3 linked regions of the Sus scrofa genome follow. The protein of the gene in region 1 interacts with the protein of each later gene in a biochemical or structural test. Links are inferred from orthologs where the notes say so. Each region holds a gene or a part of one and is shown in the gene's direction. Other genes may lie near its edges.

Region 1 (10,845 bases):
GGGCAGCTCTGAAACAATTGGGCCCTTGAGTGAAGGAGGTTTGTAATAGTCAGAACTTATATTTCAGGAATAGAATGTGGGAGCTTGGGTTGTAAGTGGACAGGATTAATTTCATTTTTCTCTTGATTTATTAAATTAATAATACCTAACTTATTTATTATAAAAGCAAAATAGTAGTGCTTGCAATCTTTTGAAAATAACCTTTCCTATCATATTATTGAATGTATTAAATGACTAGAAACTACCACATTGCCTGGTTGAATGCATTCATTCTATAATAAAAGGATTTTTAACACCTGCCAGAAGGATCAGAACAACTTTACACGTTGTAAATATGCATAATTACATTTCTCAGCAAGAGGTATTTTTCCAGGGAAGATCTTTTTCAAAACGTATTTTTAGATTTGTTTTGCTACAGTCAGTTCTTAGTGTTAGTTACATAATTTCACAAGGTATCACTTGGATAATTGGATATGTTTTTAAGGAGTAGTGGGACTAGGAAGAAGGCCAGGTGACAGTAGACCTCTAAAAATTTTTTTGTTTCCTCCAGATTCAGATGAAGAGATATTTGTGAGTAAGAAACTGAAAAGCAGGAAGGTGCTACAAGACAGTGATTCTGAAAGAGAGAATGCAAATGCCTCTCCAGAGAAAACTAGCAATGACAACGTTGAGGAGGAAGATAAAGAGAACTTATATGCCAGGAAAAATAGAAAAGTTAGAAAGCTGTACAAAACTCTGATGGACAGTGATGAAAGTGACATCGAGGAGTCTTTGTATCAGGATAATCTTGAAACCCAAACGACACCTTGCGTAGGGCTGGGTCTCCAATCTGAAAACTCTCTGGAATTTACAGTTGACAGAAAGAGTTCCAAAAAGCCCATATATGATAAAGAAGAATCTGGGCGAAAAGCAAAAGTAAAATCAAAGCGAAGACTTGAGAAAGAAGAGAGAAAGCTGGAGAAAATTAGGCGACTGAAAAAGAAGGAAACAAAAACTGAGGTACATTTAAAAGAAGAATCTGCTGTTTCTTTTTTCTTTTTTTTTTTTTTTTTTCTTTTCTTTTTTCTTTCCAGGGCTGCACCTGCGGCATAGGGAAATTCCCAGGCTGGGGGTTGAATTGGAGCTACAGCTGCCAGCCTACGCTACAGCCACAGCAACGCCAGATCCCAGCTGCATCTGTGACCTATGCCACAGGCTGTGGCAATGCCAGATCCTTAACCCACTAAGTGAGGGCTGGGATTGAACCCACATCTTCATGGATACTAGTTGGGTTCTTAACCTGATGAGCCACAATGATAACTCCAAAATTTGCTATTTCTGAGGCAGATTAACATTTTATAAAAAGTTTTTAGTTCTTGAGATTGTTTCTGCACTCAGTATATAGCTCTGAGTTGATTGTTTTGCATTGCAAGTAATGAGGTTTGCGATTTCATACCTGTTGGTCTCATTCTCCATTTGGGGTACATAAGGACACTTCCAAGTAAATGGGTTTCTGATATTCTTTGTGAACATGTAGAATTATTTATTGCTGCTTCTGATCTGAAGAAAATTAACTTTCACAGGAGGATTTTTCATGCATCCATCAGTCAAAAGACTTGTTTGCTAACTAGAAAAACTATCTTCAAGTTTTATAAACTAGTTTCTTAGTAAATTTTTTTTTTGTTTGTTTGTTTTTGTTTTTTTTTTTCTATTTCTTGGGCCGCTCCCGTGGCATATGGAGGTTCCCAGGCTAGGGGTCCAATCGGAGCTGTAGCCACCGGCCTGCGCCAGAGCCACAGCAACGGGGGATCCGAGTCGCATCTGCAACCTACACCACAGCTCATGGCAACGCCGGATCTTTAACCCACTGAGCCAGGCCAGGGATCGAGCCCGCAACCTAATGGTTCCTAGTCGGATTCGTTAACCACTGCGCCATGACATGTACTGTTTTTTACATTAGTTTTGGACAATTGCATGAAATCACATTGTGAACGTCAAAAGATGACTGTGGATTAGGAACCAGTGAGAATGTTGTAGGATGCGATATACTTGTCTATTGATGAAGCCTGCGCTTTTTCTTGTTCTGATGCAAATTGCTGTATGATGTTGTAAAATACTGGATTTAAAATGATTGGATCTTGCTTTTTCTTTATGTATTGTCTAGGAAGATGATATGAAACAGCCATTTAATGACAGTGGCTGTCTACTTGTGGATAAAGACCTTTTTGAAACTGGGTTGGAGGAGGAAAGTAACTCTCCACTGGAAGATGAAGAGTCATTAGAATCAATAAGGGTGGCTATGAAAAACAAAGTAAAAAAACACAAGGCAAGTAAAAGATGACTGCAATAAAAGCTAACCCATTACTTCTAACCTTTGCTTTGTTCTGAATTGCTGTGGGAATCTTAATTTTTTTTTTTTAACTGAAGAAAAACGTGTCAATTGATTTATGTTTTCAGCTGTTAATTTTGGAATGATGCAGTACAAGCGGTAGACATGCTAACTTGTTTGGAAACTAGTATTTTCATTGTCCTAAAAGGAATGTTGAGGGGGAAAGTAGGATACTTTATGTAGGAAGCAGGTTAGAAATAATGGGGCAGAGATGTGAATTTTATAATCTAGTAGCCTCTAGGAAATGAACCTATAGGGTTTCAGAAAGGGTATCAGAGAGAAGCATCTGTCAAAGCATTATTGTCCTGAATGTTTGGAAGCATAATTGTTCTTCCTAAGATTATCTTTAGTTCCCTGGGGGTCGTTTTCCCTCCTGAGGGAAAGATTAAATGCAGGGGTGTAAGAAATGAGGGCCCAAGCTCCATTTAAGACATCCAGTTTGTTTCCTAGGCTTTATAGGATACTGTGTGTCTAACATCTATACTTAGTAATTATTGATTTATTATTAATGTAGCATGATGGGCTGTTGGAGTGCAAAAGCAGTCTTTGACTAAGCAACATCCTCTTGTGTCAGTTTAATTTTTGTCCCTGTTTATCCATGTGCAATCTTCTCTTTTAGAAAAAGGAATTGTCTTTGGAGAGTGGGGACTATTCGTTTGAAGAAGAAAGTGGATTACCAAAAGGCACCACAAGGAAGGTGAAGTAGAGCCCTATATAGTTGTCATGTTGAGCTCTTTTCCCTGGAGATTGTGGGTTTCTCAGGAATTCCATCATGTCCATCGTATTTTCCTGATACCCAGAATATTGCTTTGTACATAGTCGGGACACAAATATGAGTTGGGTTGAATTAATTCTATGAGACTTGCAAATAAGTGAGCTCTTGAAGTTTATATCATATCAAGCTTATAGGTATTTACTCTTCCCTCTCCATCCTTGTTTCTTGGAGGAAGTAGACTCTTAAGGATGACTCTCTTTCTGGATAATAGCATTAATATAGTCTCACCTTTTGTTTTCTTTAAGGAAAGAAAGGCAGCCAAGTTAAGTAAGGAAGCATTAAAAAAATTGCATAGCGAGACTCAGCGCCTTATTCGAGGTAATATAAACCAGTATGGTAAACATTGAGGCAAATCACATTATTTCTTTGTAAGCTCAACTTGGATGTTGGGGACTTTACTTTTTTTAAACAATCCTAATATGAATGGGATTATAATAGCATGTTTAGAATTGACATTGTTGAATGGCTGTTATTCTAAAACCTCTGGATCATTAGTATAAACTGAGAAAATTTCCAGAATTGTAGTGGTTATGAGAAAGGAGTTTTTTGGAGTTTCCTTTGTGGCTCAGCGGTTAATGAATCCTACTTGTAACGATGAGGTTGAGGGTTCAATCTGTGGCCTCGCTTAGTTGGTTAAGGATCTGGTGTTGTCGTGAGCTGTGGTATAGGCCAGCAGCTGCAGCTCTGATTCGACCCCTAGCCTGGGAACCCCAATACGCTGCGGGTGCAGCCCTAAAACAAAACAGAACAAAAACAGAAGAGAGTTTTTATTTATTTATTTATTTATTTTTTGCCATTACTTGGACCACTCCCGTGGCATATGGAAGTTCCCAGGCTAGGGGTCAAAGAGGAGCTGTAGCTGCCAGCCTACACCAGAGCCACAGCAACGTGGGATGCGAGCCACGTCTACAACCTACAGCACAGCTCACAGCAACGCCGGATCCTTAACCCACTGAGCAAGGCCAGGGATCGAACCCGCAACCTCATGGTTCCTAGTTGGATTCGTTAACCACTGAGCCACTACAGGAACTCCCAGAAGAGAGTTTTTAAAAATGGTTGTCTTTGGCTTGTCTGCATCAGGATCCCTTATACAAACCTTTCAAATTTATAAATTTGTATGCCCTACAGAAATTCTGATTCGGTAGGCTTGAAATGGGACCCCAGAATCTGTATTTTTAAAAGACTTCCTGGATCAGTTTGATTTCACAACTAGTTTTTAAAAGCCACTGGTCTTCAGGGAATTCTTTTGTATTTAGATCTTGGTTTTTTGGGGGGTTTTTTTGGTCTTTTTTTTGCCTTTTCTAGGGACACTCCTGCAGCATATGGAGGTTCCCAGGCTAGAGGTCAAATTGGAGCTGTAGCCACCGGCCTACGCCACAGCCACAGCAACGTAGGATCCAAGCTGCATCTGCGGCCTACACCACAGCTCACAGCAACACGGGATCCTTAACCCACTGAGCAAGGCCAGGGATCGATCCTGAAACCCCATGGTTCCTAGTCGGATTCATTAACCACTGAGCCACGACGGGAACTCCTAGATCCTGTTTTTAGTAACGGCAGAAATATTTTCTATTTCTGGTGATGGCTTTGGTTCTATTGTTTAGTTAACTGAACATGAAGCGACATTTCAGAATATACAGTATATGTATTTGCTTGTTTTGTTCCATTTTATAGAGTCTGCACTTAATCTTCCATATCATATGCCTGAGAATAAAACCATTCATGAATTCTACAAACGTAAACCCCGGCCCACTTGCCAGGGAAATGCAATGGCACTACTGAAGTAAGAACCTTTTTTCCTTGTGATTATAATTTTCATAAATGTTCAGTTTTGAGACAAATACTTTGCATAAAGAGTTCAGATTCCCCCCTCCCTTAAAACTAATGTTAACTGGTTCACTATGTGCTGAAGGATGAGAATATTTCAGATTTAGGGTAATTTTCAACCCCGACTTATTTCCCATCCTCTAGGTCATCTAAGTATCAGGCAAGCCATCACAAAGAAGTCACCGATACTGTGAATACAACTGAGCTGAATAATGACCACCATAGCAAAGATTCCGAGCAGACAACAGGTGCAGAACATGAAATGGAAACCAACGAGCTCCTTGAAGTTACAAACGAACCACAGACCACTACTGGATCAGATGAATCTTGCAGTAAGAATTTGATGAGAAGTGAAAAGCTAGAAATTCCCAAGGAACAGGAACAAAGTGATGCTAGACCTTCACCTGGAGACATCTTGGTGGCACAAGAATGCAGCTTCCTTAGGGACAAGGACAGTGAGAAGTATCGGGCTGGAGGGCTCGTGGCACCTGAACCTCCTGCCCTGGAGGGAGAAGAAGACCTGAAAGAAACAAAAGAAGCAGATGAGAAGGTGGAAGAGCCCAGCCAGCAAACTAAATCAGCAGCAGTAGTGCCACCTGACAAAATTAGGAGGTTCACTGTGGATAGACTTAAGCAGCTGGGAGTAGATGTTTTCATTAAACCTCGGCTGGGTGCTGACAAAGATTCTTTTGTGATACTTGAAGAACCTGAAACCAACAGAGGTAATGCTCTGAATTGTGGAGAGATTCTCTAGAGTGATCTATTCTGTCAGCTTTCTATTATTTGCCGCTGTGGAGGATAAGGAACACGGGAGAAACGAATAACCACACATGGTCTTATTCTACAGATGAATCACAGGTAGAATCTCATGTAGATACACTTGGCAGGGTATCAGAATGTTCTAAACCTTGTTTAAAATGGAAACCTGTTGATAGTTAATGTACAAAGGAGGGTACATTGCGTTATGGCATGACACTGGTAAAAGCATTATTTAGTTTGTCACAGTTGGAAGCACTTTGGTTCAGCAAATTGTCTGCAAAACTGAATTTCTTTTCTTTTTTTTTTTTTTCACTCATTCAACAAATATTAAACTATCCATTGCATGCAAGATGCTATAAGGCATGCTTGAGAAATCTGACATTTATCCTACACTTAAGCTACTTGCACTCTAACAGGGGAGATAAGAAGTATGCAAATGACAGTAATACAAAAGATAAAGTGGTAAGTGACATCTATCCTGAATATGTCACTATAATTGGAAAAAATTAAATAACATAGAGAAAAGGGAAGCGTATTCTTTGCTGAAAGGAACATTAAGAATAAAGTATGTTGGGGGTTCAGAGAAGGAGTAAGCCTCTTATAATAGGTGGTTAAAGGAAGGCTTGAAGAGTGAGTGAGTGTAATTACTGATGCACTACCTTTCCCATTATACCTTGAGTAGGGATCTTCTGGCTTGCTCTCTACTCTATCCCCTGTGCTTCCAAAATGGATGATACATTGTAGGCAACCATGTTTATTGAATGAATGAGTGAACGAATGATCCTTTAACAGAGAACTCAAATACTACCCACATTGGGTAAATGTCCTGACTTGTAGGTAAAATTGGGCGCTCCCTCGGCATCAAGGCGGTGCGGTATGATAATTAAGAGCTTAGGCTCTGTAGCAAGATTGGGATTTGAATCTGGACTTCTCTACTCACTATTTAAACTTGAATATGCTGTTTGACCTCTCCAAGCCATCTTTTTAAAAAAAATGAAATAGCACTATCTGGTTCACAGGGCAGTAGTGAAGATTTGTTGAAATAGTGCATATAAACGAAGAGCATAAATAAACACTCAAATGGTGGCTGCTGTTTCTGTTATTAGTGAAATTATGTACATCAAGTCTTTTCTTTATTAAATAGAATATGGTTGGTGGGTACTAGGTCAGTCAGTGTCTGGCGTGTAAATTAAGCTTAGTGAGTCTTTGTTGATTGAATGGGTGGACTTTGTGTAAGTGGAGAGAAGGACATTCTTGGAAGGGACAGAAAGAGCTCTGTGGGGTGCGTATTGGGAGGATGTGTAAGTCAGTTTGACCAGAGCTGGGAATGAGGTGGAAGGGTTGTGTGGCATAACTCTGTTAGCAAGGAAGCATGGGAATAAGCTGTTGCCCAGCTGTTGCCCAGATTAGGGAGGGAAAGTTTTGTTGTATGGGACAAGAAATTATGTAAACAGTCTCAGACTAGGAGATGGGAAAGAAACTTTTTTGAGTACATTCTATACTAGCCACTGAAATTTTGTTATGTGGGACCAGAAATTATCTAAACATTCTTGGACTAAGAAACAGGAAAGGGAAGAAAAGAATTGTTTTGTCATTCCCACAGCATGTAGGACTTCCCTAAGCCAGGGGTTGAACTGCATCATAGCAGCAACCTGATCCTCAGCAGTGACAACACTGGATCCTTAACTCACTGAGCCATACAGGAACTCCAAGAAAACTTTTTTTGGGGTGTCTACTATATTAGATACTGACAGATTTTTTTGCTATCTTTCTTAATTTTCGTAGCCCCAGGTATTATTTTGCAAATGAAGAAATTGAGGTTTGGGGAGGTTTTCAGGGGTTTCTTTTGTCTTTTCAGGGCCGCACCCGCAGCATATGCGAGTTCCCAGGCTAGGGGATGAATTGGAGCTACAGCTGCTGGCCTATGCCACATCCACAACAACACAGTATCCAAGCCGCATCTTCGACCTACACCACAGCTCATGGCAATGCCAGATCCTCAACCCACTGAGCAAGGCCAGGGATCGAACCCACAACCTCATGGTTCCTAGTCGGATTCATTTCTGCTGTGCCACGACAGGAAGTCCTGTCTTCTTCTTCTTCTTCTTTTTTTTTTAAATATTTTATTTTATTTATTTATTTATTTTAGTCTTTTTGCCCTTTCTAGGACCACACCTGCGGCATATGGAGGTTCCCAGGCTAGGGGTCTAATTTGGAGCTGTAGCCACCTGCCTACGCCATAGCCACAGCCACGCCAGGTCCGAGCCGCGTCTGTGACCTACACCACAGCTCACAGCAACACCAGATCCATAACCCACTGAGTGAGGCCAGGGATTGAATCTGCAACCTCATGGTTCCTAGTCAGATTCGTTAACCACTGAGCCACAATGGGAACTCCTTCTCTTCGTATAAGTACACACCAGTCATGTTGGAATGGGGCCAACCTCATCTTAACTTGATTATACCTGCAAAAACCCTACTTCCAAATAAGGTCACATTCACAGACACCAAGGGTTAGGATGGGGACTTATCTTTCTGGAGGACACAACTTAACCTATAACAAGGTCCTTTGTTGACAGATCTCTGAAGTTACAGGATTGAACCTGTGTCCTCATGGATGTTAGATTCATTTCTGCTGAACCACGATGGGAACTCCTAAGGCTTGGAGAGTTTGGTTGGCTTATAGAGGGAACTAGCACAGTGCCTGGCACATAAATACGCACTTTTTTTTTTCAATTGAAGTATAGTTGGTTACAATGTTGTGTTAGGTTCTGGGGTACAGCAAAGTGATTCAGTTATATATGTTATTTTTCATATTCTTTTCCATTATAGTTTATTACAGGATACTGAATTTAGTTCTCTGTGCCATTCAGAAGGACCTTGAATGTCTGTTTTATGTATATTAGTTTATATCTGCTAATCCCAAACTTCTAATTTATTCCCCCTTCCTCCTTTCCCCTTTGGCAACCATGAGTTTGTTTTGTATGTCTGTGAGTCTGTTTCTGTCGTAAATAAGTTCGGTTGTGTCATATTTTAGATCCCACATGTAAGTGATAGCATATAGTATTTATCTTTGTAACTTACTTTACTTAGTATGATAAACTCTAGGTCGTGTTGCTACAGAAGGCAATATTTCATTCCTTTTTATGGCTGAGTAGTAGTCTATTGTATATATACTACATCTTCTTTATCTATTCATCTGTCAATGAACATTTAGGTTGCTTCCATATCTTGGCTTGTTGCTGTGAACCTTGGAGTTCTGCTGTGAACATTGGAGTGTGTGTATCTTTTCAAATTAGAGTTTTCTCCAGATATGTGCCTGGAGAAAAGGAGTGGGATTGCAGGATTATATGGCAACTTGTATTTAGAATTTTTTGAGGAACCTCCATACTGTTGTCCATAGTGGCTATACCAGTTTACATTCTCACCAAAGGTGTAGGAGGGGTCCCTTTTTTACACACCTCTCCAGCATTTGTTATTTGTATACTTTTTTTCCTTCTTTTTGGCCATGCCTATGGCATGCAGAAGTTCCCAGTCCAGGGATCAAACCATACCACAGCAGTGAGCTGAGCTGCTGCAGTGACAATGCTGTATCCTTAACCAACTGCATCACAAGGGAACTCCTGTAGACTTTTTAACGCTGGCTATTCTTTCTTTTTTTTTTTTTTTTTGCTTTTTAGGGCCGCACATAGGCATACGGAGGTTCCCAGGCTAGGGGTTGAATTGAAGCTGTAACTGCTGGCCTACACCACAGCCATGCAGGATCCGAGTTGTGTCTGTGACCTACACCACAGTTCACAGCAACGCCAGATCCTTAACCCACTGAGCAAGGCCAGGGATTGAACCTGCATCCTCATGGATGCTAGTCAGATTCTTTAAGTGCTAAGCTACGATGGGAACTCCAATGCTGACTATTCTGACCAGTGGAAGATGGTACCTCACTGTAGTTTCGATTTGCATTTCTTTAATAATTAGCAATATTAAGCATCTTTTCATGAATAGGCACTTATTTTTAACTCAGAATGTTTTCCTTCAGAAATAATATTTAACATGAAAGTTGGGTTTCCAGATCAGCCGGTTCCATAATATAATATGAATGTTGATGTATATTTACACATGTCAACATTCATTTATTTATGCATACATTTTTTTTTTTTAATCTTTTTAGGGCTGTACTGACAGCGTATGGAAGTTCCCAGGCTAGGGGTCAAATCGGAGCTACAGCTGCCAGCCTACAACACAGCCACAGCAATGCGGGATCCGAGCCATGTCTGTGACCTACGCCACAACTCACGGCCATGCTGGATCCTTAACACACTGAGTGGGGCCAGGAATCAAACCCACATCCTCACGGATACTAATTGGGTTCGTTAACTGCTGAGCCACAGCGGAAACTCCTTATGCAATAAATTTTTATTTAGCATATTTTTGGGTGCTCTGTAAGATGTGGTCCCTGCTTTCAAGAAAATGAAAGTCTAGTAGGAGTAACAGGCAGGCAAACAGACCATTATACTATTAGATGCTAAGTGTTGTGCATACTTTGAGCCTAGAGGAAGAGTTCCTCACAGGGAGTCAGGGAAGCTTCTGAAAGGAGCTGATACCTGAGCTGAGTCCTGAAAGCTGAGTAGGAGATACGAAGGCAGAGAAGTGAGGGAGGACTTTCTTGGTGGAGGTGATGGACTTGCAAAAGACACGGAGCAGGAGAAAGCACAGAGTGCTCTGGCTAGTTGAAGTGGGGCCTGTAAGGGGGTGGGTCACCAGAGGCCAGATCATGCAGGGCTTTAAGGTGTAGATGTGAGCTGGAGCAGAGACTTTTCACTTAGATGAAACGTGCTGGGAAACAACTGATGGAGGGAGAGGAGCTTGAACAGGGATTCTAGTGAAGAGGGTGGTGGTTGAGTCCTGTAGTAAAGGGCAAGGAAAGTGGGTGCTCCAGTGGGTTGGGGGGTGAAGGGATTTGAGGGACCTGGCCTTCTCCAGAAGAGTGAAGGCAATTCCTGCCTAACTTATTTTAGGTTCTGAATAGTTTTCCTCCCCTCCCCTTTCTTTTATTCTCTTGGCACCAATAATGACCTGCCTATTTCTGTTCCTTTCCACTGCCACCTTTCTTGAACTA
Region 2 (11,393 bases), on another chromosome or scaffold:
AGTAACTGACATGTTTCAGGGCAATGATGGTTTGAAATCTACTACATATCCAAGCATAAGTAATTCTTGCATGTGCACTTAAAAGTCAAGAATGGGGAGTTAGAGGTTAAGGAATCCAACTGGGAACCATGAGGTTGGGGGTTTGATACCTGGCCTTGCTCAGTGGGTTAAGGATCTGGCGTTGCCGTGAGCTGTGGTGTAGGTCACACACCCGGCTCAGATCCCGAGTTGCTGTGGCTGTGGGATAGGCCAGAGGCTACAGCTCCGATTAGACCCCTAGCCTGGGAACCTCCATATGCTTCGGGAGCAGCCCAAGAAATGGCAAAAAAGACCCCCCCCCAAAAAAAAGTCAAGAATGGGTATTTCTATCATACATTCTCATCTAGCAATAGTGCCAGGTTCACTTAGGTAACTTAGATCACTTAACTTGATTCACTTAGCTAACTTAGATCACTTAACTTGATTCCAAAAGATATAGAAGTGCCTGAGAATGTATGTATGTGGGTAACTGGGTCACTTTGCTGTACAGCAGATATTAGCATAACACTGTGAGTCCACTATGCTTTAATAATAAAAAAAAGAAATGCATTGCCTTCCACCAATATTAAAGTACCCATTTTTATTTCTGCATATGTCAAATAATTTTTACCACCACAAAATTGATCGGGGAGTTCCATGGCAGCTCAATGGGTTAAGCTCCTTGCTGTGGCTTGGGTCACTGCAATGGCATGGGCTTGATTCCTGGCCTGGGAACTTCCACATGCTGCAGTCGTGGCCAAAATACAAAAAACTGATTTTTTTCTTAAGGCATATTTGATAAATCTTCCTATCAGGAGGCAAAAATAATGTTATCAGGTATTTGTAAATGAAGACTGGAAACTTGTCTGCAATAAATTCACAACTCTTTTGTGTTCTTTGTGTAAATACACACACACAAACACACACATATATATAAACTTGATCAATAAGAATAGGTACATGTGGGAGTTCCCGTCGTGGCACAGTGGTTAACGAATCTGACTAGGAACCATGAGGTTGCGGGTTCGGTCCCTGCCCTTGCTCAGTGGGTTAACGATCCAGCATTGCCGTGAGCTGTGGTGTAGGTTGCAGACGCGGCTCGGATCCCACGTTGTTGTGGCTCTGGCGTAGGCCGGTGGCTACAGCTCCTATTCAACCCCTAGCCTGGGAACCTCCATATGCCGCGGGAGCAGCCCAAGAAATAGCAACAACAACAACAACAAAGACAAAAGACAAAAAAAAAAAAAAAAAAAAAAAAAAAATAGGCACATGTGGATTTTTTTTTTTTTTTTTGGTCTTTTGTCTTTTCAGGGCCACACCCAAGGCATATAGAGGTTCCCTGGCCAGGGGCTGAATCGGAGCTGTAGCTGCCAGCCTATCCTGCAGCCACAGCAACATGGGATCTGAGCCATGTCTGTGACCTACACCACAGCTCACGGCAACGCTGGATCCTTAACCCACTGAGCAAGGCCAGGGATGGAACCCGCATCCTCATGGTTGCTAGTCATATTCATTAACCACTGAGCCATGGCGGGAACTCCCCATTCTTGACTTTTAAGTGCACATGCAAGAATTACTTATTCTTGGATACGTAGTAGATCCAACAGATCTTAAACTACATGAGATCTCTGTGTGTGTGAATGAACACACCCTTTTGCTTCATATCTGAACATTTTATATCTGTTTCGGATTGTACATTGTGTTTCTAATTGATTTGCACTTGTCACAAACTAAATGAAAATAAATGGTTAAAGAGCAATTAAAACAAAAAATTTAAATTTAAAATGATGTTTATGCACATAAAATTTAAGAATTATTCAATATTGCTCATATGGTAATTGAGTAAATTATTATTGAGTGCATCCTATCCATCTTATGAGATATTTCAAAGGAATTTCAAATTCTGGAGCAGAAACTAAATTTTATACTGACACCTATCATTTCTGGTTTTAATAATATCAATAAGCAAGGTATCCAATCTCTTGGGATAGATTATGATGGAAGATAAGAAAAGTAATGTATATATATGTACGACCGGGTCACTTGTATAACAGATATTGGCACAACATTGTAAATCAATAATACTTTAATTTTAAAAATGTAAAAAGAAATTAACGAGGTTTTTTTGGTCTTTTTAGGGCTAAGCCCGAGGCATATGGAAGTTTCCAGGCTAGGGGTTGAATTGGAGCTGCAGCAACCAGCCTACACCACAGCACACCAACGGAGGATCCAAGCTGTATCTATGACCTACACCACAGCTCTTGGCAACACTGATCCTTAACCCACTGAGCAAGGCCAGGGATTGAACCTGTGTCCCCATGGATACTAGTGAGGCTGGTTACCAAAGAGCCATGGTTGGAACTCCTAAAAAGAAAATAGAAAGGAGGGGGATAACTTTTTGGATAGAATTTTTGTTTTTGGCTATGCATGAGGTATGCAAAATTTTCTGGGCCAGGGATCAAACCCACCCCACAGCGGCAACCGGAGCCACTGCTTCGGTGACTCCAGATCCTTATCTCACTGAGCCATACAGGAACTCCTGAATAGACCTTTTTTTTTGTTTGTTTTTTTAACTTTTTTTCTTTTTAGGGCTGCACCTTGGCATTTGGAAGTTCCCAAGCAAGGGGTCGAATCAGAGCTGCAGCTGCTGGCTTACACCACAGCCACAGCAATGCCAGATCCAAGCCGCATCTGTGACCTACACTGCAGCGCATGGCAACACCAGATTCTTAACCCACTTTTTTAGGGATCTACTGACTGCATCCTCATGGACTAGTCAGGCACGTTACTGCTAAGCCACAACAGGAACTTCCTGAATAGAGTTTTTTAATAGACTTGTTTCCATGATCCTATAATCTCTTCTGGTTCCTTCTCATTTTCTGGCCTCATTATTCCTTGTTCTTTCTCATTCTAATATGAAAAAGCTAATAGTCAGTATTAGGTTTAGAATATATGACAAGAATAAATCAGGTCTCTTATTAACACTTTTTTCTTGTCCACAGTATAGGAATGAGAATTTATTCTCAGTGGTGGATTAAATGTCTTTCTCCACAAGCTTGACTACCAGCTTCCTTTGGCCATTCCTCACGGTTTTTTCTCTTAAGGATTACTCACGTTACTTACAGCGAATCTTTGTTTTCTCCTTCCATTTAGTTCGGTTATTTTCATATCTTAAACATGTGCAATCTTTACAAAAGACAAGATAGGTGAAGACAGAAGTTTCTCACCTTCGATTTCGATTTCAGGGGCTCTCACAGGAGAACCAAGTGCTTGAAAAAGCTTTCGTAACATTGGAGGTTACCTAAAAAAATCCAGTTGAAACACAACTGAATATCCACAAGAGGGAGACGCTTGCTAAACCGCCTGAAACGAGGGATCAGAGAGATCCTTAGGAGGAGCCACTTGGGATTCGGGGCGGGAGGGAACTGGAGTAAATAATGACTGGGGCTAATAGTGCGAGTACAGCTAAGGAGAAAACTAAAGTGGGCTCTCTGTGTTTGGCAGGCGAGCCCGTGCTCCACCCAAGATAGGAGCAGGAGTAGAAGGTAAGGGTATGTTGCCACAGAGGAGCACACGCACGCAGCTCGGTTCTAGTAATCCCAGAAGAAGTGGGGGTGGCAGTCTTTGAAGGCACTTCCGCTTAGCAACCCCACGCGGTTGCTAAGGAGGGGCGGTAGCGAGGATGACCCGGAAGTGGTGGTGTACATTTCTCACTGCCAGCTTTAAGTTTGTCCTATCGGGAGCGCCCGGGTGCTTTGCGCCGGGCTGAGGGTGGGGCCAGCGCTAGTAGTTCCGGTTCGGCTTCTGCCGCCCCTCGGCTCCTCGCCTTCCCCCCTCCCCTCCCGCACTTTTCCTCCCTCCAGTTCCTAGGAAAGAGAAGCCAACGCTGCTGGTGGGTAGAGAAGCACTCCGCGCCTCCAGGAGGGAACTGCGCTCACCCCATCTGAGCCCCAGGACACGGCCAGACGAGGTACTCGCTCCGGCTTCGATGGGATCCGGGAGGCTCTAGCCTGAGGGTGTTGTGTGTGTGTCTAAGCCGGCTGGTGGGGGCCCCCTTCTCCGAGTCGGGGAGGGGAGCACCGAGATCCTGGGTGGGGCGCAGGCCGGCGAGTTTGATTGTAAAGGGTTTTAAGGACGGAATGCAAGGGCCAGGGCACGCCGCTGGCGGAGAGTTTCGAGTGGCCGGGTAGAGGTTTCGGAGAAGGCGCCCCTTGAAAGCAGAAGACTTAGCTGCTGCGGACTGGGAGTTTGCCACCTGGAGGGTTAGCTCTAAAAGGGGGAGCATCCTCTCCATCCAAAAGGAGAACATTGACCCTGGCGGGGTGGCTGGGACAAGCCCTTGCTTCAAATGACTGCTTCCCTTGGGCACCCCCCTGGGACAGAGCCCGGCTTCGAGTGTTGTGGGGGTTGTGAGTTGGCTGGGCACTGCGGGGAGCCGCCCTTGGCAGAGCTAGGGCAGAAGAGTGGGTAAGGAGACCTCCCTCCTCCCAATTTCCGTGCGCTTCCCCCACTTCTTCCTTTAGTGCTCTCTGGCCCCGGTGTCCTACCGGAGAGGTACCGCCTCCGCCCCCCAAGTGGGCAGGCATCACAGCGTAAAAGAAAGAGAGAGGGTGGAACTGGTTCTCTTGCCCCTCAATGATACTTAGAATGTTTGGCAAGTGCCAGAATGGCATATTTAGCCAAGTCTCCCATCTCGATATTAAATCTGGTGTAAATTATTTTAGAAAATGCAGTTCTGAAAAGCTCCAAACTATGGGCTAATTTAGCTTAGCATTGTTTGGTAGATACGCGTTTGTAAAAAATACACTAGGGGAACCGTATAGATATAGAGGTCTAGGCGAAACATGTTGAGGCAAGCCTTTTCCAACATCTTTCTTATCTGCCAGTAAGCCTGCCCTAGTTTAAATGAAGCAGAATGATTCTCTTCACGTATACTTCAGTTAGTGACCGAATTGTAGGTACTGTGTGATTATAGATGTCTCAGAATAGAGGCGTGAACATTCAGAGAGACAAGATTCTCTGCTTTTGCGCCTGTCTCCTAATCTTTTAAGGAGATAATTGTGGTCAAGTGGAAGTATTGGCTTTGAGGTTAGGTAAATCTGGGATTGAACCTGGACTGCCACTAGCTAGTTGTTGACCTTGGACAAGTCAAGAACTTACCAGAGATACAATTTCTTCAAAGTAATATGAGTTAAAATACTTACCAGTGTTGTAAGGGGGAGTAATGTATTTAAATAACAGCCCACTTTAAATGGAAGCACCTTCCAATTGAAAGATAAATTATTAATAATCTTAACACGGTTAAGGTAGCTTAGTTTTATGGATTAGGGTTTGAGATAGGAACAGAACTGGATAATATTCCAAAACATATTTGTACAACAGGATTTTCTGTGGCTTCTAGAAATTGATCATAAGCAGCATCAAATTATCAGGAGTTTCTTAAAAAGTATGTGAATTAACTGAAACGACCAATGATGTTTCAAAGGTTTTTCTCAGATTTGTGATGTGTATGGCATGGGTTGATAAGAAAAACATTTAAAAAGCAGTGTATATAAATCTTAATTAACATCACATGTCTTTATAGAGAATTAAAATTGAGGCATAAAACAAAGTACTTTTAATTTTACGATTAAAATCAACAAAAGTAGTATGATTCATGTTAAGTAGATTTAAGCTTATTAGCAAAACTTATAGAATTTTATATGTATAATATTCTGTGAAATAAATGAAAATGGAATGAATTTTTGCCTTTGAAGTATTTGTGATGACATAGAAATTATCTCAGAAGTTTTTATATCATTTGTTTTGTAGATTTAAAATGATACAGTTGTATGTAACCTATTAAATGTCAGATTTTCAGCTAGTTTGCTTTTTAATGTAATGTAGTTTGTAATTTAAAATTTTTAAATGTACTTTATATTCAAAAGATAATAGATTTTTGTGCAAAAAGTTGGTGTAAAGTTTTAATTCAGTATCACTTTTTAGAGAAGTTTATAGGTTTCATAATTTTTTTTTTTTTTGGTCTTTTTGCTATTTCTTGGTCTTGGGCGGCTCCCGCGGCATATGGAGATTCCCAGGCTAGGGGTCCAATCGGAGCTGTAGCCACCGACCGGCCTACACCAGAGCCACAGCAACGCGGGATCAGAGCGGCGTCTGCAATCTGCACCACAGCTCACGGCAACGCCGGATCGTTAACCCACTGAGCAAGGGCAGGGACTGAACCCGCAACCTCATGGTTCCTAGTCGGATTCGTTAACCACTGCGCCACGACGGGAACTCCATAGGTGTCATAATTTTGAGAGAAATTTTCAAATATATTGCCTCTTCATTTCCCTCTATTTTAAATAGTGTTGAATTTTATTTTTTTTTAATAAAATTCTCCAGCTATATTGTATGTTCCTTAAGTTAGAAATACTATTTTAAATTTTAGCCCCCACTGCAGCTACATGAAAGGCACCAAATAAATATTGGTCAAATTGATAGATGGATGGATATAGTAAAAATTATTATTATTATTATTTTGTCTTTTTAGGGCCGCACCTGCGGCATATGGAGGTTCCCAGGCCAGGGTTTGAATCTGAGCTGTAGCAACTGGCCTACACCACAGCTCACCACAACACTGGATCCAACCCACTGAGTGAGGTCAGGGATTGAACCCATGATCTTGTGGATCCTAGTCGGGTTCATTAACCACTGAGCCGCGATGGGAACTCCTATAGTCAAAATTATTAATGGGATATTTATACTATTTTTTAAAGTGTTGAAAATATGTTTTTATTGGAGTTGTAGATTTTTTTGTAAGATTATTCAACTTTCTCAATGGCTTTTCTGATATTGTAAAGTCTTCAGAGTATATATAAGTGTTGAATTGTGTTTTCCTGGATTATTTTTCAACATCTTTCAAATCTTCAAGTTGAGACTGTATTGTCTTGCTTTGGCAAAGCCATCAGAAGCTCCCATTTCCCCTCCCCATCTTCTTATAAAGCTTTAATAAATCATTTGTTAGGAGAGGTAGGATACCAGCTGTAAAAATATCTATCTAAAATGTAGGTAATAGTAGAAACTGTCAGAGATGATAGTTTTCCCAAAGACCTTTTCCACTTAGGCAAAGTATGTGGCCATTCCACTGATCTTTGCAGTTGTCAGTTATGGAATTTGCTTGTCCGGAAATCTAAAAATGACTAAACCTTCCTTTAATGCCTGTCTCTTGGGTGATCTCAGAAATCTTTAGGAAAGACTGGAAAAGTTTACATATCATATTGGAATATATAATGAACAAAGTACAGTTAACTTTATTCATGCTGCCAGATCAAGAGTGAGTTAACTGTATAAATTTTTAAAAAGTGCCATATAGTGCCTCACTCAAACCAAATGAATGAATATTCTTCCAGAGCTTGTTTCTATTTCAGAGCATATTTCTTTTTGAAGCTATAATTTGGTCTCTAATAAGGATAAATGATCATTGTATCCAGGCTGTTATCATAGACAGATTTTAGTATCACCAGTCTTGATAGAAACTGCTTCATTGGCTTCAGAGAAGTGGAAATAAATTTTCATGAAAAAAATTTTAGAATTTTTGGAACGATAGTTTTTCTCTATTTAACATCTAACTTGTCTCTACTCATTTCTGCCTAATATAGAAACTTTGAGAAGCTGGGAGGAAAAAAAGAATGAATTTACTTCAGAATTACCATTTTATGTTTTGTAGCTAAATTGGGTTTTGACATTATTGGGATTGTGTTCAAGATGGACTTGGGAAAAAAATTAGAGAGATGCCATCTGTTTCAGATTCCTATTCCTTCACCCCTGCTTATTTTGTGGCTTTGAATTCATCAGATTTTTTTTCAAAAATAAAGCACCTCAAGTTCCTGCTGTGACACTGTGGGTTAATAATCCAACTGCAGTGGCTCTGGCCGCTGCAGAGGTGCAGGTTCAATCCCTGGCCCTCTGTGGTGGGTTGAAGGTTTTGGAATTGTCACTGCTATGGCTTAGGATGCTGCTGTGGCAAAGGTTTAATCCCTAGCCACAGAATTTCTGCATGATGCGGGTTTGCCCCCCCAAAAAAGTAATTTGTTATTTCAAACTGTTTAAACATTAGATAGCCTCTTGCATCTTTGTCATCATTCGCTTAATAAACCATTCTTGTCAGTAATGCTTACAATAATCCACTTATTGGTGGAAGTTGCTAAAAAAAAATTATTATAGAGATATAGAGTAAACCTTTTTTTTTTTCTATTCTGATATTGCAACTAGAAGAGAAGCTTCTGTTGTGGATTTTTTTTTTTTTTTTTTTTTTTTTTGTCTTTTTGCCTTTTCTAGGGCAGCACCCATGGCATATGGAGATTCCCAGGCTAGGGGTTTAATCAGAGCTGTAGCCACCGGCCTATGCCAGAGCCACAGCAATGCCAGATCCAATCCGCGTCTGCAACCTACAGCATAGCTTACAGCAACACCAGATCCTTAACCCACTGAGTGAGGCCAGGGATTGAACCTGAAATCTCATGGTTCCTAGTTGGATTTGTTAACCACTGAGTCATGAAGGAACTCCTGGATTTTTTAATTTAGTGATGAGTCCACTTAAACGTACTCTTTCAGTAGTGAGTTTTACCTTACCTCTTGCTATAGTTTTCGTCTAAGTGATACCATACAGTTCATAGGGCATATACATGTTGTTTTTCAGTGTAGATCTTAATGAATCCCGAGGATAGGCTTTTGGATTTACTGAGCTGGAAAAGACTATATCTTCTTCAGGTTACAGTAGTTGGACACCTGTTATGGACTGGAAAGACCGAGGCATCTTTGAGAAAATATAAAGTAGAACTAGGAATGGCCTGAAGGGAGAGCCTTCTGGATAGAGGAGAACCATGCTTTGTGTGCAGCAGAAATGTTCTGGTGATGTAGGAAGACAGATGAACTGCCCTTATACCACTGTAGTCTGTTTCTCACACAGAAGCTCCAAGTAGGCAGTGTAGGTATAGCAGGGCCTGGGATGTCAGGGATGGGAATTGTTCTTCGGTAATTGCTCACCCATCACAATGGAGGCATGCACATATTGGGAAAGGGATATTCTCTTGGATTTTGCTTTGGCCAGAGAAGCTGAGTGAATAGATAGCCATTGCCCTTGCCATCAAAGAGAACTTGGTGCAACACCTCTAGGTGCTGGGTAAGCCTATCAAAATGCTATAGTTTGATTGTCTCCATCAAGAGTCCACATAAATTTTCCAAGAAACAATAGCACTGGACCAAATTGATCTCTATAGTTGACACATTCTAAATCTTTTTTTTTTTTTTTTTTTTTTTTTTAGGGCTACACTCATGGCATATGGAGGTTACCAGGCTAGGGAGTGAATTAGAGCTACAACTGCTGACCTATACCGCAGCTCATGGCAATGCCGAATCCCTAACCCACTGAGTGAGGCCAGGGATCGAACCCGAATTCTCATGGATACTAGTCGGATTCTTTTCTCCCGTGCCACAATGGGAACTCCTGACACATTCTAATTCTTTAACCTCTGAAAATGGGGCATTGAGGACTTTTGGGCCTCTGAGTGAAAGTAACATACATTACCTCCATCTTGATAGATTTATAAATACATTTAAATTTGTCTGTTGGTATTAATAAATGATATGAAGATGTTTTAGGTTCATTTTTGTGTATGTGCTTGAGTGTCCATGATGATCACCAGATTTTAGTTCTTCAGGCTAAATTGCTGTCATCATAGCTGTGCTCAAGCACTTTCCCAGCTGGGATTTCTTCTCCGTTTCCTAGAGGTGTGATGCACATGCTAGTGAGCAGAAATATGATCAAGTCAAGGAGATTAAAGTTAATCTTTAAATTTGTTTTAGGTTTATTCGGATTTGATTTTGTTAGTTTTTTTCTTCCACTTTACTAGGATTTCTGTGGTTTTAAAGTAGCAATATCTTTGAGATTGTGGGTGCCCAATTTTTTTTTTTTTTAAATTAAGAGTTATTGAACAGTTTTAGATTTATAGATAGAGTTCCATATCTATCCACTTAATTCCCACCCACCTCCCACCCCCCAGTTTCCCCTTTTATTAACATTTTGCATTTATGTGACACATTAGTCATGTGGCATATGGAGGTTCCCAGGCTAGGGGTTTAATCAGAGCTGTTGTTGCTGGCCTATGCCAGAGCTACAGCAACACGGGATCCCAAGCTGAGTCTGCGATCTATACCACAGTTCATGGCAACACCAGATCATTTAGCTCACTGAGTGAGGCCAGGGATTAAACCTGAGTCCTCTTGGATACTAGTTGGGCTCATTACCGCTGAGCCGTGACAGGAACTCCCAGCAATATGCATTTAAGGTTCCTCTATGTCTTTTTTTTTTTTTTTTCTTTTTTTTTTTTGGTCTTTTTAGGGCTGTACCTGCAGCATATGGAGGTTCCCAGACTAGGGGTCTAGTCAGAGCTGTAGCTGCCAGCCTACACCAGAGCCACAGCAGTGCCAGATCTGAGCTGAGTCTGCAACCTACACCACAGCTCATCGCAACGCTAGATCCTTAACCCACTGAGCGAGGCCGGGGATCGAACCTGCAACCTCATGATTCCTAGTCAGATTCGTTGACCACTAAGCCATGACCAGAACGCCAATGTCTTTTTTTTTTTAAATTGCTGCACCATAGAGAACTCCTCCTCTGTGTCTTTTTGTGGCTTTTTAGCTCATTTCCTCTGATTGCTGGATAGATTTGTACCACAGTTTGTTTATCCCTTTACTTGTTGAAGAACATCTTGGATGCTCCCCCCCACCCCTTTTTTCTAGGGCTGCAGGTCTGGCATATGGAAGTTCACGGGCTAGGGGTCAAATTGGAGCTACAGCTGCCAGCCTACGCCACAGCCACAGCAGCGCAAGATCTAAGCCGCGTCTGCAACCTACACCACAGCTCACAGCAATGCTGGATCCTTAACCCACTGAACAAGGCCAGGGATTGAACCTGAATCCTCATGGATCCTAGTCAGGTTTGTTAACCACTGAGCCATGAAGGGAAATTCTCCCTTTTTTTTTTTTTTTTTTTTTTTTTTTACTGTTACAAATAAAGCTCCTGTAAAGGTGCTTGTGCTTAGTTTTGTGTGTACATAACTTTTCAACTCCTTTTGTAAATAACAAGTGTGAATGCTGGATTGTATGGCAAAAGTATGTTTAATTTTGTAAGAAACTGTGAAACTGTCTTTTACAAGTGGTTATACCACCAATATACATTCCCGTCAGCAATGAATGAGTATTCCCGTTGCTCCAAGTCCTTGCTTGCATTTGATATGGCCAACTTTTTCTACTTGAGCCATTCTAATAGTTTTAATTTGGAATTTTCTAATGATGTAAGAGTGTTCAACTCCTTTTCATATGCTTATTTGCCG
Region 3 (10,845 bases), on another chromosome or scaffold:
CAGTCCTAAAAATACAAAGCACAACTTGCATTTGGTCATTTTTTGCTTTTCACAATGAAAAGTTTCAGAGGAGAGAAGGCTGTGTTGGTGAGGGCAGAGAAATTAGAAGATGGGATTATTGGGGGATGTAAGAAGCAAATCTTTACATCTTTTTTTCTTGTCATACTGACTTGGTGTTCAAAAACTTTGTTCTGGAGAACACCGGTGTCCTTCTGACAAATAGACAGCTATTCCTTGAGAAGGGGACAGGTGGAATGCGATCTGAGGCTAAATAAGTTTGAAAACTATAGTGTGGAGACCTCTTCCTGGTTTTTTGTTATGTGCTTCAGTGCATTAAAGGTCTAGAAAATTTTGTAGTTAAGAAATCTATCAGTTTGTTTTAACTCAGTATTTCTCAAATTTAATTGACCATCAAATCTTTTATTCTGTTTAGTTTCATGATAAAGTTAAAAAACCTTTTGTGGGGCTGGTCGGGGGGCAGGTCCCTGGTGGCTCAGTGGGTTCAGGATCTGGCCTTGTCACTGTTGTGCGGGTTGGCTCGCCGCACCCAGAACTTAGGCATGCCATGGGTGTGGCCAAAAAACAAAACATAGCTTTGTTTCCCCCTTACGACTATTATCGTTTTATTTCTAATAGACCTGTATCCAAGGCTTAAAATAATCTCAAATGATAATATTGCAGAAGAATACTGACTGGAATGGGTCGTACCATGGAGATGTTTTTTGCTAAACCTAGTTGACTGAACGGGTTTACCATGTAGCTTTGCTGAATTACTGTGTCCCCTAAAGAACTGAGGACAGTTAAGAATTTATTAAAAATTGAAAATAAGTTGTATTTACAGATGTGTTTGCTTTTCATGTTCAGTCTCATTAAAATATTAATGGTAGCTGATGATAATTTTATGGGTTCCAGTTTTTAAGAACTGTATTAGCTTTATCTCATTCATATTTATACAACCATATATTGAACAAGCTAATACATTGTTTTACAGGCACTTTCAGCTCAGTTTATTTGGCCACAGCACAGTTGCAAGTGGGACCAGAAGAAACAATTGCTCTAAAACACTTAATTCCAACGAGTCATCCTGTAAGAATTGCAGCTGAACTTCAGTGCCTGACAGTGGCGGGGTAGGCAACGTGCACATGTTACTTGAACTGCCGCTCTGGTTTGTAAGATTTTTGCGTCGATCACTAACACGGGTGAAGAGGTTCTTCAGGCAGGGGCTGGCGGTTTGCTAGCACTTTCCCTCGGGTCTTGGGATGGCTAGGTAAGTTCCTGTGAATTTTTGGAGTGGATTTCCCTTGAGGCTCAGCTTGACTTCCTAGTCTCTTACCACTTTTTCTGCTCTTCCTGCCAAGTCGTAAGCCTTGGCTCCCATGGTCGAGATGTTTTTTAAAATATGGGAAACTGACCCTCATGTCTCCCCAGACTTTGGCAGCCTTGTCTCATTTTGGTTTGGAACAGCAGAACCATGTGGCATGTGTTTGTCGTTGGCCTTTCTCTGCGAGGCCCTCCCTGTCAACGAGAGACATGACGGGCTTTCTCTGGAGCTCCCTGTGCCGCCGTCCCCCTTCCGGCCGCTTCCTGGCCTCTGCTCCCCTTCACAGCCAGACTCCTCGCAGCCTACCTGCTTGGCTGCTTCCTCCACGCCCGCCTCCTCCACGCCAAGCTGAAGCTACTTCAGAGCCAGCTGTGGCTTCGGCTTTTTGGTCCCTTTCTCTGTTCCCGTGCACACGTCTGGCAGTGTCAGTTTAGGTGCTTTGGGCAATTGTCTCTTGACTGTACTGCCATTGATTTCCTCCCGCCTTACGTGGCCTGTGTGTGCAGTGTCCTCTGCCGGTTCTTCCTCTTCCCCTGACCCCAAACACGGGCGATCCTCAGCCCTCCGCCCCGGGCTGTGTTCCTCCAGACGGCCGTAGGTGGGGTCGTGTGTTCCACCGGCCTTGGGTGCACACATGGTCAGGGTCCCCGTGGGTGTGTATCTGGCCTCAGACCTCTCCACTGCAGATTCGTACCGCTGACGTTTCCGTTTGGGTGGCTAATACACCGCTCGTCCTCAGTGCTCCAGCAGCGACGTTCTAACCCTCCTTCGCCTGTCCAAAAATGCCGATGGCAACCATGTGTTTCCATCCACCCACCTCAGCAAGTGGCCCCGCTGTCTGCCTGGCCCCTCAAGCCAGAAACCGAGTGGTCACCCTCAGTGTCCCTCTTCTGTCCTCGTCCACATCCACTGCCAAGTCCTGGTGATTTTGCCTCCCAAATAGATCTAAAATTTATCTGTATCTTTCTATCTTCTCAGCCATCCCCTCAGCCCAAGCCTAGCTTCCCACAGCAGCCTGCTTCTGTTCCCTCTTCATCTCGTAGTCACCGGACAGCCAGAGTGGTCTTTAAAATGTAAAATAGGTGTGTGTGTACTATCGATTGGATGCTGTTCCGCCTCTTAAAATTCTTAAGTGGTTTCCCAATGTTCTCCGGAAAGAACAAAGCCAACTTCATCTCCTGCCAGTCTTCGCGCCCCCTCGCTGTGCTCCGGGGTCTCCAGCTCCGCAGATTTATCCAGGAGCGCCCTCACCTCGGGGCCCTGCAGGTGCTGTCTCCCCGTCGGGGCCGCTCCCTCCCGGGCTTTGCGTGCCGACTCCTCTTCGGCCCTGAGCAGGAACCCTGAGCAGGAACGGTACCACTTCAAAGAGGTCGTCTCCGAACACCTTCTTGTCAGAGCCCTTTGGATCCCTTTCAAAGCCCTTGTCGTAATTTGTCGTTACTGTTCCCTTGTTTGTTGTCCTCATCGTCCACCAGACAGGAAAGTCCAGGAGGGCAGGGATGTTCGGTCCCTTCCCCGTCGCATCCTGAAAGCCCAGCATCGTGTCTGGAGGGTGGTGCCCACTAAACAGCGCCCGGAGGAGTGAACACACCTGCTTTCAGTTTGCCCTCTCTGTGTATGACGGAAGGCGAGAGAATGAGGCGGCCGCTCTGAGGCCTGATGACAGCCTCTCGTCCCCTGAAGAAGCTTCTTCCTCCCCCACACACTCGAAATAACTCCCTTGACCAGTTTTCCTTGCCTTCTTCTTCAAAAATGTGCATGCTAAAAAAAGAAACAAATCTACCTGATCTTGCTTCCTTTCTAGCTCCCACACTGGTTTTTATTCTTTTCTTTGCCAGATATTTCAGGAAAATTGTCTTTATGGTTTTTTTAAGATTTTTATTTTTTCTGTTGTAGTTTATTCCCGCGTTCTGCCGATTTCTGCTGTATAGCAAAGGGATGGATATACGTATATACACACGTATGCCTTCTTTTTCTCGCATTGTCCTCCATCGTGTGCCATCACGAGTGACCAGATAGAGTTCCCTGTGCTACACAGCAGGCGTCTTTCTGTGCTGTTTCTCGTCTGTCCGCTTTCCCTCCTTCAATCCTGTTTGGCCTCTTGCTTTCCGCTTAAACTGCCCTCTGAAAATTCGCTAATTCCTCTTGGCCGGACCAGAAGCCTTCCCTCAGTCCTTGTTCTTGGGCCCCAGGCTGACCACCCCGTCCTTCACGGCAGCTCCCTTGGGTGACACCCCCATCCGGCCTCGGACTCGAGACTTTTCCAGGGCTCAGTTTTCTCTTCTCTCTGAATCACTTTAGGTTTCTGTCGCTCACTCCCACTTGGCTTCTCACTTAAGATAGAATCTTGTATCGAGGCATCTTTATCAGAGTGACGAGGTTTTGGGTTCCGGTGTTTCTTTTCGAGTCTGCGCGGCGTGTTTTGCTGGTATCCGTGTCGTTTTACTCACGCAGGTGCAGAACCATGGGAACCGCTTTGCCCCGTTTTCTCATTTCTCCAAGGCAGAGGAGGACCGCGGTTGAGAGTGTAGATCTGGAGCACACTGCCTGGACTCAAATCCTGGCTCCGTGACCTGCTAGCTTAGTTATCTCGGGAAGTTCCTTCACTTCCCTGTGCCTCGACTTCAGTATCTGTAGGCGAGGGAGAGCACTCGTAGCACCATCCTCGGAGCGTTGTTGTGAAGGTTAAGGGAGTCTTTTGACAGATGTGAAGATCAGAACTTGGTTTGTAGTGAATGTTCAGTAAATGTTACCAATTACTAATTTTTAACTGATTTATGGATTACCTCTACCATCTTATCTGCTGTGAAGTCTTACTCATTTTCATTCTTCATGTTTTCCTTCTCATTCTGCCACTTTCCCAATTAAAAGTGTAATTGTCTTGGTTTTGAATTATAACTTCATAACTGGTGTTGTCTTTGTTTCAAAAAAACCCTTTATCTTGTATAAGTCACTTAATGTGTATACTCTCCTGTGTGGTGATGGTTTTGCGTTAGTTTTCTAGCATTATTTATGCATTGCTGCAGTTGTATTTGTTAAAACACTGAGCTTAGAGTTTCAGTTCATTTGACCTTTCTGCTAAAGTTCTTGCGTTTTTCCACTAGGGGGCAAGACAACGTCATGGGAGTTAAATACTGTTTTAGGAAAAATGATCACGTGGTTATTGCTATGCCCTATCTGGAGCATGAGTCCTTCTTGGTAGGTTTTAATCGTTTTTGAATTTTTATTAACAACGTATTTGATTAAAAGTAATCTTACCACCTTATTCATCACTGTATTTTAGGACATTTTGAATTCTCTTTCTTTTCAAGAAGTACGGGAATATATGTTTAATCTGTTCAGAGCTTTGAAACGCATTCATCAGTTTGGGATTGTTCACCGTGACGTTAAGCCCAGCAATTTTTTATATAATAGGCGCCTGAAAAAGTAAGTATGGAAAGGAATCAGAAGCTGTTTATACTTGAGTGAACTTAGGCTGTGGGGTCCAACTCTTAGACGTGGGCCTTACCGCAGCAGCCGTGCGCAGGTTGGTTTCGCTTGCCACTTGGCATTATGATTGGGGAGGGAAATACACTCAGGAGAAGATAATTAGTGAAACAGCTTGCATCACTAGATGGACCGTGGCTCAGTGGAAATTGCCCTTAGTAAAAGAGACTCAGAAGGAGTCTAGGTTTTTTGGGGTCTTTGGTTTTTTACCTTATGCCTTTATCTCTATGCCTCATTTTTCTTTTCTTAGTAAATAAGAGGATTGTACCACATGATAGCCGAGTTCCTGCTTCAACATTGAAGTTTTGGGGTTTTGTATACTTTTTATGCTGATTATATACATAGAGGCACTGTAAGTGGGAAACTTAAATACTGCTGTTTACACAGTGGGTTGTTTTGAATATAGTAAGGAAAATGGAACGATAACTTCTTTTCTTGGGCTTTTATACTATACTCCTGACTTAAATTTTCTTTAATTTAATTTTTTTTTTTTTTGTCTTTTTTAAGGCCGCACCTATGGCACATGGAGGTTCCCAGGCTAGGGGTCTAATCAGAGCTGTGGCTGCTGGCCTACACCAGAGCCACAGTAATGCCAGATTCGAGCTGCGTCTGTGATCTACACCACAGCTCACGGCAATGCCAGATCCTTAACCCACTGAGCGAGGCCAGGGGTCAAACTCGTAACCTCATGGTTCCTTGTCGGATTTGTTTCTGCTGCGCCACGACAGGAACTCCCCAATTTTCTTTAATGAAATCAGGTTTTTAAACTGATTTTAATTTATTTTTCTTTTAAACTTGTTAATTAAAAGTTATCTTGAAGTTCCTAATGGGCTAAGAACCCAAGTATATCCATGAGGATGAGGGTTTGGTTCCTGGCCTCGCACAGTGGGCTAGGGACCCAGCATTGCCAACAAGCTGGGGTATGGTTTGCATGTAGGGTTTGGATCCCACGTTGCCATGGCTGTGGTGTAGGCCAGCAGCTGCAGCTTCAATTAGACCCCTAGCCTGGGAACTTCCATATGCCGCAGGTGTGGCCCTAAAAAGAAAAAAAAAAAAATTATCTGGAGTTCTCCTGTGGCACAGTGGGTTAAGGACCCAGCGTTGTCACTGCAACAGTTTGGGCCACTGCCGGGGTGCACGTTCAGTCCCTGGCTCAGGAAGTTCAGCATATGCCATGGGCGTGGCCAAACAAACAAAAATAAAACAAGTTGTCTGCAATGATGCCACCTCTTTCCACTGTCAGAGAACAAAGTATTGCGTTCACATCCTGCATTCCTTGTCTGCACAACCCAGTGGACAGAGGGGACAAAAGATGCTTTTGTGTGTAGGGGTTACATCTTTCCTTAAGTTTCAGTAGTTAGCTATTAAATCCTTACCTTGCCTGTAAATCTTAACTTTTCTTTTTTTAAGGATTTTATAAACCCTTAATTTATCTTCAGAAGAATTACAGTTTCTGTGTGAATATGGTTTGTATTATGATGTTACCAAGCTTTAACTGTCACAGAGAAGTAAAAATGCTTTTGTTTCCTAGGTATGCCTTGGTAGACTTTGGTTTGGCCCAAGGAACCCATGATACGAAAATAGAGCTTCTCAAATTTGTCCAGTCTGAAGCTCAGCAGGAAAGCTGTTCACAAAATAAATCCTATGTAATCACCGGAAGCAAAATTTCACTGAGTGGCCCAGCAGCACCTAAGGAGCTGGATCCGCAGCCTACCACAAAAACCTCTGTCAAGAGGCCCTACACACATGCGCAGATTCAGATTAAACAAGGACAAGATGGAAAGGTACCTCTTTTGCTTCTTAAGGGCTCGGATGGTTTTAGAAATGTACTCCATCCAACAGCGTTATTATTCCGGGATAATGCTTGCAGCTAAAAATGTTTTTTACATTGGTTAGATATTCAATTGATTAGATTTCACTAAGATTTATAAGGGAGGGTTTTAGGATTTCAAAACTGAAATCTGCACTTGGTAGGTGCATAATGGCTTTGTCAGTACAGTTGCGTTATATAACAAAAATAGAAAATAAATTTTCCCTGCCTGTTATCGAGTTTATAGCAATTATCCTTTTTAAAAGAAAGCATTAGTTGGTGGGGACAACCCTGAAGTGTCCATCTCCGTTTTAGCAGCGCAGCAAAACCTAACAGCTGTGCAGGTGGCTCTGTGTATTTGTGGGCTATGATAACATTGCATGGGGGGTGAAGGGTGCTGTCTAGACTGTCTTCTCTTTTCACAGAAGTGTTTTGGTGCCTGAGAATGACTTGGATGCAGCTGTTTTTGTTTTATGTCACTTAACTCTTTCAAAACTGTGGCAGAGTGCAGCTGGCAGAAAGTGTTACAGATGTAATCCTTATTCTCCTTGTTTTTGTTGGTATCGTAGGAAGGATCTGTAGGCCTTTCTGTCCAGCGCTCTGTTTTTGGAGAAAGAAATTTCAATATACACAGCTCCGTGTCACATGAGAGCCCTGCAGTGAAAGTAAGTAACGTAGCTTAATCGTGCACCCTTCAGTCAGTCGTACCCGGGGGAGACTTTTAGGGAACGGCCAGATGAGCTTTTATTAGCGGTCCTTTTTTTTAAGAGTTTTGCTTTGGCAGAAGGTATTATTGCTTGGAGCATCTTGTCAACACTTCCGTTTTCTCCAGTTTTTTCTGAACCTTTCCGATGGAATTTTTCATCATTTTTTGATGAGCTGACGGTTGCTGCTCTTTCTCTCAGGGAACAGGAACATTCAGAGCATTGTGGCCTTTTCTCTCATTGGCTGGGATGTGACTCCCAACAACTAATGCGTTTCTGACATGCAGTTGATAGCGTAAAGATGTTTGTAGCGTTTACAGAGTTGTCGCCAGTGTTAAGTGGTTTTAAACTGATTGATGATATCCTGTAGCAGCTAGATAGCATGAGCAGCAAATTAAAACTCTGGATTCAGCCGCTGTAATTGCGCAGTTTACAGCTCTGAAATGGAGTTAGACACTAAAACGTCAATGTTTCATACTTAAGTAACATTTCAAGGAAAAGTTCTAATAAAGTATAATTTAATATTCCCCGAAGTAGGAATAATTAGTAGATTTTAATGTTTATTCAACACAAAGAACTAGAGACCTTCAATTTTAATAGACATCTGTTTATTTACAATCCAACAGCACATTTAGCAGCTCAAAGTTATGCTTCCCCTGTTGCTTTTTGCCATCGTAGCATTTGAGGCATCATTAGATGCCGTGAAAACAGGGAATATGACTTTTCTCTTACAGCTTATGAAGCAGTCAAAGACTGTGGATTTGCTATCTAGAAAATTAGCAACAAAAAAGAAGGCTATTTCTACAAAAGTTGTGAATAGTGGTGTGATGAGGAAAACTGCCAGTTCTTGCCCAGCCAGCCTGACCTGTGACTGTTATGCAACAGATAAAGTTTGCAGTATTTGCCTTTCAAGGTAATATGTTTTGATGGTGCTGCACGCTGCCCGATGAGCCTGCTGATTCTGGTGGGCGGTTGATTTGAGTGAGTAAAAGGGAACAGTGCAGTTCTGAGAACCGAGGGCCCTGGTGCAGCGCGGTACCTGGACGTGCAGGTGACAACCCTTGACACACATGCTCGGGAGAGCACGTTTGCCTTTGCATGCAAGTAGGAAGAGCTCTTCAGAAACTTGAGAGTGGCCTCTTTTACTTGGTGATGTCATCTTGTTTTCTTTATTCCTGGCGACGTAGAATAACCTGAACCAAATAATAGAACCTTTCTCACACTCCCACCTCCAGTTCTTTGCCACATAAATTCTTTTCTTCCCTTCAAGACTTTCTTAAGCTTTCATGAGCTTTTCTGATTAACTCTAGTACATATGTGAACAGATAGCTCAGTAAGTAATTCCTCAAAATGGAAATACATTTTTTTTTTGGTCCTTTTAAGGGCCTCACCCGCGGCATATGGAGGTTCCCAGGCTAGGGGTCGAATCCGAGCTGTTGCTGCCGGCCTACACCACAGCAGTACCAGATCCGAGCCACGTCTGTGTGTGACCTACACCATAGCTCATGTCAACACCGGATCCTTAACCCACTGAGCAAGGCCGGGGTCAGACCCACAACCTCGTGGTTCCTAGTCGGATTCATTTTCGCTGTGCCACAATGGGAACTCCAGAAATAGGTTTTTATACCTCAGCGTTCCTGATGTGTTCTGTTTTTCTGTTTTGGCTGTCATCATCTACTACCTCTTCTTATGCCTGGATGTTACCTTAAAACCTGTCTGGAGCAAGACCTGGGAACTAGTGGGAGGGGAAGGGACCCATAGAAGCAAAATCTAGGATTTCCATCACACTGGATTATCATTTGCCTTCTAGTAACTTTTATTTGCATAGATACTACTTGACTGTGAAGTAAATGGGTTAAGTGTTATTTTTTGTTCTTACGTAATTAAACTTTAACGTAACTAGAAACATCTCCTTTCATCATCATTAGGCGGCAGCAGGTGGCACCTCGGGCAGGTACACCAGGCTTCAGAGCACCAGAGGTCTTGACCAAGTGCCCCAATCAGACCACAGGTAGGTCACGTTGGAAACACAGAACCCAGTTCAGCTGGTTTCCACGGGTGTATCTTAGGATTGCTGTCTAGTTAGGACTAAGTCGGAGCTGTCCTGCTTCTCCCTAAGGTCTGGAGGTGATCCTGGCACTTCAGCGTAGTCCCGTTTTTGACCTGGTGCTGTGTATGAAAGCTTCTAACCCGAGTGTTGCTTTGGGTTGTTTTTTTTTTCCTCTGTAGATTAGGTTTTGCTTATCTTTCTACAAGGTGATTTTATCAGGAATAATTCTAACATCACCTTTGTGGGGACTTGGGCTTAGCAGTCTTGGCCAGCTTCAGTCTTGCAACGTCTTATGTTTGCCTCGTACCTCAGACGTCTTCTGTGGTACGCATATGATTGTGTGTTTGATTAAAATTTTTTGGTTGTGAAGACAGTGTGATAGCATTGCGGAGATTTGCAAAAGAGAAAAAACTCTAACCGGAAAGAGTCGTCACGGATCAGGATCCCAGAGGACACCTTCTTGAGGCGTTGCGTCTTCACGTGGGTTATGGACTTGACGGAAGTGGATTCGTTTGGCAGATGCTCCTTCTGTGCTTTGCGGGTGACAGAAAAGGATCTGCTTTCGCTGTAGTCAGACACTCGCTCCGGTGATTATGAAGCAGTCTGTTCAGTATGCAGAGTGTTTTAGGGTCTCTGACTCCTCTCATCTGAGGGGTCATGGAAGGAAGCTCACGGGAGAGGGAACGCCTGGGAAGAGAATGTAGATTAGAACAGGAGGGTCACACGAGCAGGGGAACCCAAGATAGCGCGGTCACGCGGGAAGCCGTCCAAGCTTCGTGTTGCCAGACTGTGTGGGAAGTCAGAGTGGTGACACATGAACGGGGAGAGAGGTGGCGAAGGTCAGGGTTCGGGTGTCGTGTGGCTCGGACCACATCCTGCAGGTTCGGGAAAGGGGGAGAGCGCCGGAGCTGACGGTCTTCTGGAGGGTCCTTCGGCAGGTGTGCAGAGAGGGCTCGGCCCCGGGGAGACGATGGAGGCCCGGACGCGGCGGGAGCGGGAGGAGTGAACCGAAGTGAAGACGGGACAGGCAGAGCTTGGCGGATAACTGGATGTGGGATTTGGGTGGCAGAGAAAAGGCCTCCAGAATGTTTACCAGATTCCTAGCTTGGGGACCTTTAAGGGGCAACCGGCGTGGAGAAAAAAGAAGTAGCCGGTGTACAGGGAAGGAAAAAGGGGACGGGGGCATCGCTGGTTTGAGAGCGTGTGGAACATCCAGACAGAGATGCCCAGCGGGGTGATAGTGCGTCTGGAGCGCGGGGACGTCTGGGCCGCCGGTGGCACCGAGTGTCTTCCTTACCACGCGAGGGGTAGTGGAAGCTGTGGACGGGCCGGTCCAGCAGAGTCCACAGGGGAGGCGTTGGAACTCTGGGGGCACCTCAGCCCCTGAGGCTTGGAGGAAACACTGCAGGCGCGGGCAGAGGTACGCAGGGAGCCAGGAACGGCAGGTGTGCGGCAGCGGCCAAGGGAGTGGAGC

What was found.
Region 2: of the proteins of CLSPN (region 1) and CSNK1G1, one has a biochemical effect on the other in vitro, tested with the Homo sapiens proteins (2 studies listed by BioGRID). The link is inferred for Sus scrofa from reciprocal best matches to the Homo sapiens genes CLSPN and CSNK1G1.
Region 3: of the proteins of CLSPN (region 1) and CDC7, one has a biochemical effect on the other in vitro, tested with the Homo sapiens proteins (3 studies listed by BioGRID, with this or other methods). The link is inferred for Sus scrofa from reciprocal best matches to the Homo sapiens genes CLSPN and CDC7.

What each region holds. Positions count from the first base shown.
Region 1 is NC_010448.4:91,927,697-91,938,541, reverse strand, and holds part of CLSPN (claspin), read left to right. Parts: coding exon 1-38; intron 39-550; coding exon 551-999; intron 1,000-2,143; coding exon 2,144-2,305; intron 2,306-2,987; coding exon 2,988-3,065; intron 3,066-3,388; coding exon 3,389-3,461; intron 3,462-4,817; coding exon 4,818-4,926; intron 4,927-5,114; coding exon 5,115-5,692; intron 5,693-10,845.
Region 2 is NC_010443.5:107,686,262-107,697,654, forward strand, and holds the start of CSNK1G1 (casein kinase I), read left to right. Parts: upstream 1-3,787; 5' UTR 3,788-3,988; intron 3,989-11,393.
Region 3 is NC_010446.5:125,439,942-125,450,786, reverse strand, and holds part of CDC7 (cell division cycle 7-related protein kinase), read left to right. Parts: intron 1-991; coding exon 992-1,127; intron 1,128-4,425; coding exon 4,426-4,519; intron 4,520-4,604; coding exon 4,605-4,747; intron 4,748-6,338; coding exon 6,339-6,591; intron 6,592-7,186; coding exon 7,187-7,282; intron 7,283-8,055; coding exon 8,056-8,234; intron 8,235-9,249; coding exon 9,250-9,332; intron 9,333-10,845. UniProt on the Homo sapiens protein: Kinase involved in initiation of DNA replication. Phosphorylates critical substrates that regulate the G1/S phase transition and initiation of DNA replication, such as MCM proteins and CLASPIN.